Caenorhabditis elegans: one gene and its partner. The protein of the gene in region 2 interacts with the protein of the main gene of each other region in a pairwise test. Each region holds a gene or a part of one and is shown on either strand. Other genes may lie near its edges.

What was found.
Region 1: the proteins of sdpn-1 (region 2) and figl-1 interact in a two-hybrid assay, tested with the Caenorhabditis elegans proteins (one large-scale study listed by BioGRID).

What each region holds. Positions count from the first base shown.
Region 1 is NC_003283.11:4,340,903-4,347,947, reverse strand, and holds figl-1 (Fidgetin-like protein 1), read left to right. Parts: upstream 1-1,948; 5' UTR 1,949-1,951; coding exon 1,952-2,535; intron 2,536-3,238; coding exon 3,239-3,670; intron 3,671-4,681; coding exon 4,682-5,312; intron 5,313-6,183; coding exon 6,184-6,321; 3' UTR 6,322-6,517; downstream 6,518-7,045. Other genes in the region: mcm-7 (DNA replication licensing factor MCM7), read right to left, coding at 1-600, 649-750; hpo-18 (ATP synthase subunit epsilon, mitochondrial), read left to right, coding at 1,528-1,656, 1,704-1,739; glrx-3 (Glutaredoxin 3), read left to right, coding at 6,641-6,883. UniProt on the Caenorhabditis elegans protein: Has a role in spindle assembly which acts in the progression through mitosis during embryogenesis. Required for fertility.
Region 2 is NC_003284.9:7,995,088-7,999,849, reverse strand, and holds the start of sdpn-1 (SH3 domain-containing protein), read left to right. Parts: upstream 1-1,754; coding exon 1,755-1,771; intron 1,772-4,762.

The sequences.
Region 1 (7,045 bases), on a different chromosome or scaffold from region 2:
GTGAAGTCTTCCGTTGGCTTTTGCCTCAACGCATTCCTTGTTGGGACAGTTGACCGGTGGGGTGAATTGCATTCCCTTCACAGGCTGATAGACTTCGGCGGCACAAGTATCGCAAGTGTAGGTCATGACTTCAACACAAGGTTTCACCTCGGTCGCACGGATAACAACTCCCTTCATGGAGACCAAGTGCCCGATCTCGGTGGCTTTGATGTTTCGGACACACGTTTCATGGGCGGCATCGTCCGTTGTGAAGTAGACCTCGAAGCGTTGAAGGAGCTGTGGTGGGTATTTCTTGCGTTTGTCCTGAAGAGAAACTTCCTCGTTGGCGGCTCCCTCGTTCCTATCCATATGAAGACGCTGGAACATGTAGGCATCAAGAGCATCGATTACTGGCGCTTGCTTGTCTCCGAGATAGTCCTGGATCATATCCGAAATTGTGTCCTTGAACAGGACTTCGTATCTCTTTGTATTGGAAGTAATGGCTTCTGAGAGTTCAAGAGCATCTGGAATATCAGATTCCTTAATATGGTCAACATTCACAACGATTGCCTGCTTGTCGCGGCGAGCAATTTCAAAGACTTGATCACGATATGGGAATGCCTAAAAGTTGAATTTAAATACTCATTTATACACCAAATTCGGGAATACCTTTCCAGATCCGTCCTCATTGTCCACATAGTATTCGTCGAAGAAACTGCGAATTTTCGTCTTCTCGGCAGCCCAGTCTGTGTTGTAAGTGGTGGTTTTCATGGTGAGTGAGATTATAGGATTATAGAGCCGGGCTGAAATGATGGAAATTTTATTTTTTAATTGGAAAAACTGAAAAAATCGCGAAAAAAGCTGCTCTTGTAGCACAAAACCGATAATAAATGAGCGAGAGAGTGAAGGAATGTGCGGCAGATGGCAGCGTCGTCCGTTCGAATTTCGCGCGTTTGCCTCCTTCATGTCGTTGCGAGACCCACCAGAGTGCGAAAGTCTATGCGCCTTTAACTTATATTTTTCCGACATGGACTGTGCCATTTTTAGCTGTTTTTAAAGAAAATTGTTCGTTTTTTCATTGATTTTTGGTTGTTTTTAGATGGAATTAATGTTTATTTTAATTAAAATTGGTAAAATAATTGCTAAAATCGATAAATTGCTGCAGAAACGACAGGCAATTCTGAGAAAAAATGTTTTTTTTTGTCTCATCAGTAAAATTGTGGTTTTTCTTGGTTTTTTGTTAGTTTTTAGATGGGATTAATGTACATTTTAATCGCAAATTGTAAAATAGCTTTTATAATTTCGAAAATCGATAAATTGCTGCAGAAACGACACATTTTTTGTTTCAAGAGTAGAATTGTGATTTTTCATTGATTTTTGGCTGTTTTTAGATGAAATTAATGTTTTTTAATCGCAAATTGTAAAATAGCTTTTCTAATTGCTAAAATCGATAGATTTCATTAGTAAAATTGCGGTTTTTCTTTGTTTTCTTGTGCAAAATTAGTCGCTTTTTTCCAATATTTCTTTTTTATTCATGTTTTTCAGAAAATGGTCGCCTGGAGAGCCGCTGGACTCAACTACGTGCGTTACTCGCAAATCGCTGCCGAGATCACCCGCAAGTGCACCAAGCAAGTCGGAGGAAAGGCCGCTGTTAAGAAGCCAGAGGCAACTCTCAAGGTGATTAAATACGCCTTATTATTCAAGTTTTAACACGAATTTTTCAGATCACCACATGGGAAAATGGAAAGCAGCAAAAGTAGACAAATGATCGCACAACAGTATTCGAATAATTCCATTTGGATACATTCCATACCTTTCTTCTCTCACTTCCGATTGTTTATGATTTATTTTATTAGACGATATAAATTTTAAGCTCAATTATTCCTTTGCCTTTAAGTTGTTCAAGTTACCCCAGTCTTTTTGAATATTTTTTTGTGGGGGTTTTCAGGTCAAAAAACACTATTTTCAGATTATGTATTCTCCAAAACGGGTAAAACTCAATGTGACCAGTGGAATGAGAAAACGGCCCGAAACCGGCGAAAATAACGATGATCTTTACCCACCGACGGCTCTTGCTCGCAATGGGATTAGTCCGTATTTTATCGGAAAACCCCGTCGAAAAATAGTCGTGGAGACACCTTCGGATTCAGCTCAGCAGCAGCCTCCATTCAAATCTCGTTCTCAACAAAATGGTCTGGATGACGAGCTAGACGGGATAATAATTGATGAAGACGAAGATAGAACCGTTGATGTGTCGTTTTCACAAAAACAAGACACCCGGAAGCTCAAAAGTCGACCGTTTCTTGGCGAGAAAAGCAGCTTCAAACTTGGCGAAATTCCGAAACCAAAGGAGGAAAAACGCCGAGAAGAGCCGTTCACAATGCGAGGCTTCGATTTTGGAAGCGACGATAAAGTGACGAAAATCAGAGACAAAATCTGCGATATAGTGGATCCTACAAATGCTAGAAGAACTGATCCGAATTTTATTCGGCAAATGCATGAAAATACGCTGAAAGGCATCGAGGTGGCTTCAAATCCGCACTTTAAGAAGACCAGGTTCGTTAAGAGATCACGAAATTCTGAGAATGCGTATTTCACAACATATTTGACGCGCAAGATATCTCGTAGCGAAAAAGAAAACTACAGTAATTCTTTAAATGAAGCGCTTGTGTCGATTTACGGGCTTGATTCTCGGAAAAAGACACATTTTTCGAATTTTGATAGCGATATTCAATTTTTCTTCGTTTTTTTCCTATTCCTTTATCATTTTTGTGCTTATTTTTAATATTTTTTTTCCATTAATAAATTATTTTAATTGAAAAAACTCCAATATTCGCGTCATTTTGATGATAATACTCTAATACTCCACAAGCGTTTTTTTAACACTATTTCCCGTTTATTGCCGTAATAGGCGGGAAATAATATAAAAATACGCCTGTATGAGCTTACTCATCAAAAAAACGCCAAAATTGGAGTTTTTTGCAATTAAAGTAATTTATTAATAGATAAAATATTAAAAATAAGCACAAAAATGACCATGGTATTCGAAAAAAAAACGAAGAAAAATTGAGTATCGCTGTCAAAATTCGAAAATTTTGTTTTTTTTCCGAGAATCGAGCCCCCGTAAATCGACACAAGCGCTACAGTAGTCATAAAAAGAATATTTTGCGCGTCGAATATGTTGCGCAGTACGCATTCTCAGAATTTTGTGTTCCCGTAATATTAATCGATTTTTTTAAAAATGAAAGCGTCGTTTCAGAGCACCTACGAAAAACCGAGCAGCTATCCAAAATACCCTCGGAACCCTCTATCCATCATTTACGACTGCAGCCGGCCAGGATCCACAGAATAGCAAGTTCCAAGTGCCTCTGGATCGTCAATCCAGTTCCCAATCGATTGGAAGCTTGGCAGGGATACCACCGGCCAGAAGAGCACCGGATATCCCGAAACGATGCTCCAATCCGCTCATCAGAAAGGCGATGGGAATGGATACGGAAGGAGGTGGAAAAGATGAAAAAATGAGTGGATTGAGAGCTGAGCCAACGCTAAAGCACTTTGATGAAAATATCATTTCATTGATTGAATCGGAAATTATGTCTGTGAACAATGAGATCGGATGGGCTGATGTTGCTGGATTGGAAGGAGCGAAAAAAGCATTACGGGAGATTGTTGTACTGCCATTTAAAAGACCGTACGTTCTGAAAGGAGAAAAAAAGGGTTTTTCGGGTTTTTAGCTTGCTCAGACTCATAAAGTGCTCAAAAATGGCTGAAATTGGTTAAAATCTCGTTTTTTGTCAACTTTTCCACTTTTTTTGGTGGTTTATTTCACATTATTTTGTTGACGTAGGTACACTTAAAGCCGATAGGTGTTTTTAATTTAATTGTTTAATTTTTTATCGACTTAAATGAACCTAAATTGACGAAAAAATGTGATATAAACCACCAAAAGATGCTAAAAAGGATGATAATTCAATAAAATAGTGTTTCAGCTGATGCGGACAGGAAAAATAGACGAAATTCGAGATTTTAGATAAAATTAGCTATTTTTACGAGGTTTTGAACGCTTATTTTGTGCTTTTAGTCTATACACGCAAAAAAACCTCCTTTAAAGGTGGTGTAGTCGAATTTTTTATTGCATTATTAGACTCAAAATTATCTGAAAACACCGAATTTTATGATGAAACTACTTGGAAACTTCTCAAAAAAAAGTTATGAAGGCTTAAAAAATGTCCTAAAATTAGTTAACATTTGAAATTTGACCGACTTGTCAATGTCGCAGCGGCTGGAAACAATTTTTTTTAAATCACCGTCAAATTTTGAGTATGTAATGTAATTATCTTGCGTTTTCAACTTCACTTAGGTATTTTAAAGTCGATGGACGGCGAGATTTGGTAAAAAAAAACAATTTTAATCTCGCCGTCCATCGACTTTAAAATACCTAAATCGAGTTGAAAACGCAAGATAATTGACCTGTATACTCAAAATTTTACGGTGATTTCAAAAAAATTGTTTCCATCCGCTGACAAGTCAAATTTCAAATTTTAACTAATTTTAAGCCATTTTTTGAGCCGTCATAACTTTTTTTTGAGAATTTTTCAAGAAGTTTCATTATAAAATTCGGTGTTTTCAGACAATTTTGAGTCTAATAAAGCAATTTAAAAAATCCTCCAAAAATTTAATTGACAATTATAATTTTTTTCAGTGACGTCTTCACCGGAATCCGTGCTCCACCGAAAGGTGTTCTTCTATTCGGACCACCAGGAACCGGAAAAACAATGATCGGGAGATGTGTCGCTTCCCAGTGCAAAGCCACTTTCTTCAATATTTCAGCATCGTCGTTAACCTCAAAATGGGTTGGAGAAGGTGAAAAGCTTGTTCGTGCTCTGTTCTCAGTTGCTCGTCTGAAACTTCCGAGTGTTATCTTCATCGATGAGATCGACTCGTTACTATCATCCCGGTCGGAATCGGAACACGAATCTTCACGGCGCATCAAGACAGAGTTCCTGGTACAGTTGGATGGTGTGAATACGGCTCCAGATGAACGGCTTCTTGTATTGGGTGCCACAAATCGGCCACAAGAGTTGGATGAAGCTGCTCGTCGACGCTTCCAGAAGCGACTGTACATTGCGCTTCCGGAGCCAGAGTCGCGCACACAAATTGTGCAGAATCTACTTGTAGGCACGCGTCATGATATCACAAATCATAATTTGGAGCGGATTAGAGAGCTTACAGACGGCTATTCTGGAGCTGACATGAGGCAATTGTGCACTGAAGCAGCGATGGGTCCTATCAGAGACATTGGAGACGATATTGAGACGATTGATAAGGATGATGTGAGGATTCTGAATTAATATCAAACACTTGTGATCGGTGTAATCGCGCTCCACGGCCAATTGAAATTGCCCCGCCTCATAATGCTGGGTCTCGTTAGGAAGAAAAAAAATCCCATTGCTTTTGATTATGCGTTAATATCGAAGCTTCACGTGCATTTTCAAGAATCATTTCGGCATGAAAACCAGAAAGCAACTGAAAATAAATCAAAAAATGCATATAAACGGATGATTTCAGTAAAATCGAATTAAAAACTTGAATTTGCCGCCAATATTACGGTAACACTGAATTCGGAGAATGCGTACTGCACGACATATTCGACGAGCAAAATATCTCGTAGCGAAAACTACAGTGATTCTTTAAATGACTACTGTAGCGCGTGTGTCGATTTACGGGTACGATTTTCGAAACAATGAATCTCGTAAATCGACACAAGAGTTACATTAGACATTTAGAGAGTTACTGTAGTTTTCGCTATGAGATATTTTGCGCGTCAAATATGTTGCACAATACGCATTATATAAATTTAATGTTCCTCTTATACATAACGAGACCCAATGTTTAGCGTTAGAGCGCGATTGCACCTCAATTTAAAAAATCTCATTTTCCTCCGTCCACATAATAAAACACCTCCATGTTCCGAAAATGAACACTTTTCGAAAATTTATGAAATGTCATGCCACAACAACAAACAATTTCGCAACTCTCTCACATGACTGACGAATCTTATTATTTTTTATTTACCATTTGCCGTACGAATTGTCACATTTATTTTCTATTTTTGCACTCGGTCATCATAAAAATTAGATAAACACTCGAGCTCTGAAACATCAAATGCTCCGGTTTTAATCAACTAATCGATGAAAATTTCAGATTCGTGCCGTTACTGTAATGGATTTCGCCGAAGCAGCTCGTGTCGTTCGGCCAACAGTCGACGATTCTCAATTGGATGCCTACGCGGCTTGGGACAAAAAATTCGGTTGCCTTCCACCTCCTTCAATATCCCGTTGAGACCTTCAGAATTGAGCTGTCGAATATGTGTACTATAATTCCATCCACTTCTTCTATTTATTTATTTTTATTTTCATTGAAATCTTCTCCTGTATTATGCATTCCATCTCTTTTCTATATTATGATCTCAAAACGATCCGTATTTCATTGTTTTTTTTTATATTTTTTCTGAAAATTATTATATATTTTCAATTTTTAAACATATTTTTCATTATTCATTATTGAAATTTCAAGGTTTATTTTACCTTTCTCGTATATTTTTTTAATTTTTTTATTCAAATTTCTAGCTTTTTACCATTGCCAGCCAAAAAATTCCAGAATGCCAATTCAAGAAATCAAGTCAGGAGAGGAGGTTGCTGCGTTCATTAAGGAACCATCTCCAGCTGTTCTTCATTTCTACGCATCGTGGGCTCCAAGCTGTGAGCAAGTTAATCAGCTACTGGATGATTTGCTCGCTGAAATTGCTCTGCCGCTTCGTGCCGCCTTCATTGACGCTGAAGCTTTGCCCGGAATTTCGTTGAATTTCAAGATTACTGCTGCGCCGACGCTTGTATTTTTTAGTGTAAGTGAGCAACGAAAAAACAAGAAATTGAAATTTGTGAAAAAAAACAAAGAAAAGTTTCGATTTATTCTGAACTTTTTTTTAGGAAAAAAGTCATTGAAAAACGTTAAAAACCACTGAAAACCACATTTTGAAATCATTTTTTCGTTAAAATACCAACAA
Region 2 (4,762 bases):
AGACGCCTTCTTTCAGATGTTATCTCGAAAAAAAAGACTAGTACAGTACAAATGGGAAAAAGAGAATCTTCAGATTTTCAGGAGTGCGTTCTTTAACCTATTATCTAATTAAATTTCTGTGAAAGTTGATCAACATAAAAACCAAACAATCTGAGTTTGCTCAGGTTTTTTGCTTTTTCTGCTGTAATACAAATATTTATGCTGACACAACTCATGATGAATCACGAAAAAATTGTCTTTACATTGCAGATTAGGCACTTCCTTCAAAATAAACTGGCTAAAAACTACAATTCCAGTTTAAGATACGAATTTCAAAAAAAAAAGTGCAGAAAGTATTATAAACAAAATTCCATTCAGCAAAGAAAACGCTTGCATGTTGCGGCGTTGTTAAACAAAAATATTAGGATAAGTTCTTTACAAAGTATCATTTTTCAAATGCAGTCAAATTTGCCAGATCACCTAAATGTTTTCTCACTTGATTATATATTCCCTTGCCCAACACCACCGCATTGTATTGTTCTATTGAACCTTCTTAGATGATCAATTGTTCATCGGAACGTGTTGATCTTCAGTTGTACCAACTGTAATCCGTACCAACGTGCAAACGCTGATCCCATGTAAAAACAGTTACCTCGTGCTTATGACCGTTCTCTTTGTTTCTGTCACTCTTTTCTGCCGAAAACGTGGAGAGGGTGTTGCGTTCTTTTCGAAAGAGCTCGTCATGCTCCAGCACATAAACTGCTCTTGAGCTCATATTTATACAGTCGTGCTCTTTCACTCCACTCTCCTATATCTCTGCGTCTTATTATTGTCCTTCACCCTCTATCCGTCCATCATTATCGTCATCATCATCATCACCCATGTTTTCGTCTTCTATAATTGCCTGCTACCTATGTCCTCGGGGGGGGGGGGGGGGGGGTGAAGGAAAAAGGAAGCAAAGTCATTGGCATCTCAGCTGCCAAGTGGTAACAAAGTGAGGATAGGAATTCAATCCAGCATATTGAAAATGTCTAGTTTTCACCTCTTTTTGCATCTTTTTTTTCTTACCGTTCGCCCTCTTCCAATGCCATCGCCATGTATCGTGTTTCCGTGAGTAGTCTGCGTTTCACAATTACTCATCCGTCACAAAAAAGGCATTCGCGTTTCCACCTGGAAGCTCTTAGATACTTCAAACACTTTGCTTCCGAAAACCATTGACTTTCACTTCACTTTCCTTTCATTGAAACTATCAAAAGTGAATTACGAATAATAAGGAGAGTACCATTTGATTGTGCTGGATATCCTCCTAAGTCTTGATCTTGCTGAAAGTGATTCACAGATAGAAAGTGGCTTGAAATTTCTATGAATACTTCTAATATATGTTTAACGCTGTGCAACTTTGAGACTTTTCTTAGGAACCGTTAATTTTTATGTTTTCTAAATTTAATTTATTTTAAAACAATGTTTCCAGCAAACTCAAAACTATCAGTACTTTCAAAACTCCTCCCTTTTAAAGCTATTTTTCCAATTCTCTGTATTTTTTTTTAAAGTCCATGTATATTTGTTAGTTGAACAACCGCTCAAACAATATTGCCCCACACCTTTGAGTTTGCCCGCCAACACACACTTTCTCACTCGCCTAATCAGTTATTGACAGTGTACATTTAAAGACTTTTTGATCACGTTTCTCACTCTTTCCCAACTATTTTCTCTTGACTTCCCGTGTTCTGTTGCTCCATTCGTCTATTTCACTCGAATCGTCGATCTATTAAAACATGAGCTGTTTACCATGGTGAGTAGATTTTGCCTGTTAATGTTTCTGTTAATCAAAAATATTAATTGTGTTTTTACTTTCAATAAGTATCCGAATAATATTGAATTTTTAATCAAACACATACGTTTTTTTTCACAAGAAATCTATCATAAAAAAATGTTTCGAGTAAACCTACCTAAAAGCAAGGGTGAAGATTTTCGAAATTCCCCATATACATAGTTGACTGTCAGAATTTTCGGCAGTTTTCAACCTCAGTCATATTTCAAACAGTTTAACATTTAACCTTGACATAATTGTTCATTTTTAAAGTTCCGTCAAATACCTATCAATTCAAGACACATCAAGCTTGAAAAGCGAATATTTTACTACAAAATACGTTTATACGTTTTGAAATCTCCAGAAATGTTCAGACATTGCTGTTTTAAAATCTTTTCGCCAATTGACAAAACTTCGATTGCCGCATTTGTAATTGTCAGAAATATCTCACCTCGAAAATTACCTATGTCTATTAAAAAAAACAACCAAGTAAGATGCTACTCAAGGCAAGTTACGAATGTTTTAAAAGCCCTCAGAATTTGCAATTTTTTGCTTGCAAGCTTAAGTTTACAGCAGTACTAGTTTGTAATTTTTCTTCCTATAGACTCTTCCTATGATGTTTTTAACTTTTTTTTTCGACTTGTTCATCAACCTGACTACATTTTAATTGATGCAATTCCATATCAATCATGAAAAAACAAGTATTAACGGATCATCTTGTTGCTTAGGATAATATCAACAGGCAAGAAAGCAAACTAACATAATAAACCATCGAATCTGTGCACCAGCTGGCAGTTCACCTCTCATCACGGTGTAGCTATTTCGCCTACGTCTCGTACTCTCTAACCATTTCCACCACCCATTTCTCCACCATCACCATTCAACATTTTCAAACCATGCCCCGCTACTTGGCGCCTATTGATTTATGATACTCGTTTATGTTCCATTTTGAAATTTCTCATTTTCATTTGAAAACATGTTAGATATGTGACTCACTAGCAATGCCTGTTTGAGCCGCACGTGTTTTGCAAATTAGGCAAACGAACCACTAAGAATACATAAGAAGCGAATATCCTTTACATGTCCACTTGGCATCCCTTCGCTCAATCAACTTCTATTCATTTCTTGTTTCTAAGTCCTTCCGAACGGAGTAGTACTCACAATTAAGGTAATCACAACCCTGTTATCCACTATTGTCGTATGTGTTTCTATTTTGAGATTTTTCCCACAGAAATGAATAGCTTTACAAAGTTGCTAATTAGAAGTAAGTAATTTGAGTCGTGTTTTATGCGATTAACATCATATTTCGAGAAGTACGCGAAAATTTATATATTTGTTTAGTTTGAAACTACACGTAATTTTTGTTTTTGAAAGTTGTGTTTCGTTCTTGTTTAAAAAAAGTGTTATATCTATAAAAATTAGATTTTAGTTTTTAATTTTTAAATTGAAAATTTTTAAGACTCCCTATTCCTTGTAAAAATGTTAAGGAAAAAAGCGTTTTTTTTCACAAATTCATATTTATACATTTTTTTGAGAATTAGTCGTTGTCAGAATTTTAAATTATAGTTTTTTTCTTTTTTTTTTTAAATATCTGTTGTAGATTTTTTGCATTTTATTTCCCTAAGAACTTAATCCTCCTTACACCGTACATAGCCAAAAACCAGCAAGTCCTAATTAATCATTCTCAAAGCTGAGAAATTAAAATTTTAAAAACTATATTTCGCCAGTAATTTTTATGAAAAAAGCCATGAATGCATGTTTGAAACGCTTTGAGTTTAAAACGGGAACATTTTTTGATAAAACATTGCTTCAAAATCCGTAGATCTTCAAAAACCACTTTTTTTGTTGGAAATTTTTACTTTTAGGAATTCTCGTTAACCCTGAACAGTGTTTTCTTTTATTGTTCACAGTCATCATGTAGACTGTTCGAATTTAAAGTTAGCTCAATGTTTTAAATGACACTAATAATAACTTGTTTTGTTTACAAAAAAATGTTATATTTACAAGAAAAAAAACAAACAACATTGACTACGTTCCAACTGCCCAACTCCTGATAATGATGTCACTGTCACCAGAATTCCCATAATAATTCATATCAGTACTCTCTTCCTGGCGGGGCACTTTTATCTTCCCTGGAACCTTGAAAACCGGTTAATTTCATTTAAATCATTCATTTCGGTTGGATTAGATGAAGCTTCCTCTTTTTCTTCTGCTTAAGGAGTGAAACAGAATCCCATACGACTTTTTCATCGTTTCTTCATCACATCCACCTTCTGTTTCACTGTTAGTCTCACCTCACCTTCTCCACTTCTCACACCTTTTTACGATGTTCTATTAGAACATTGTGTATGCGATTGAGTGAGTGTGTATCTGTATATGTATGACCTATGCAAATTCTTTATCCGTTCGCAAAATCTGCGTTTATTAATACAGCGTGCACTTTTTCAAGAAAGTAACCGAAGAAATTGACGAAAAAGGAGAGATCGGGCTGCCTATTTCGAGGACAACACATTCCTTCCATATTCTTCCGTAAAATGTTCAGACACTGGTCCCCTTCTAACTAAAACTAGGTCTTCATATCTATCAAATAAGTTGCGTTAGAATGGAATCTGATTCTGGTCGCTTTAACTTGTACATATTTTCCGATAGTGTTGGTCTTTCAAGTGTATGCCATTAGTAACTTGTTAGGCAATCTTCTAGGACATTGGTCAAAAAGTCCGTTGTTCAATTACGTTAAGCAACGGATGAATACATGTTTTTGTTTTTATTCGGTTTTCACTCACTCTTTTCACCAATCAGCTGTCAAGGTTTCATATTCCTGTATGGAATTTTGAATTCAAATTTTGATTCCCTGTTTTTCAAAATCAAAACAAATACTTTTTTTCAAATTTCGCCATAGGGTGCTATACTTAATTTTGTGTTCTAGAATTGTATTCTTGTAAAAATAACAAATATTTCCCGTATGTCAAAACT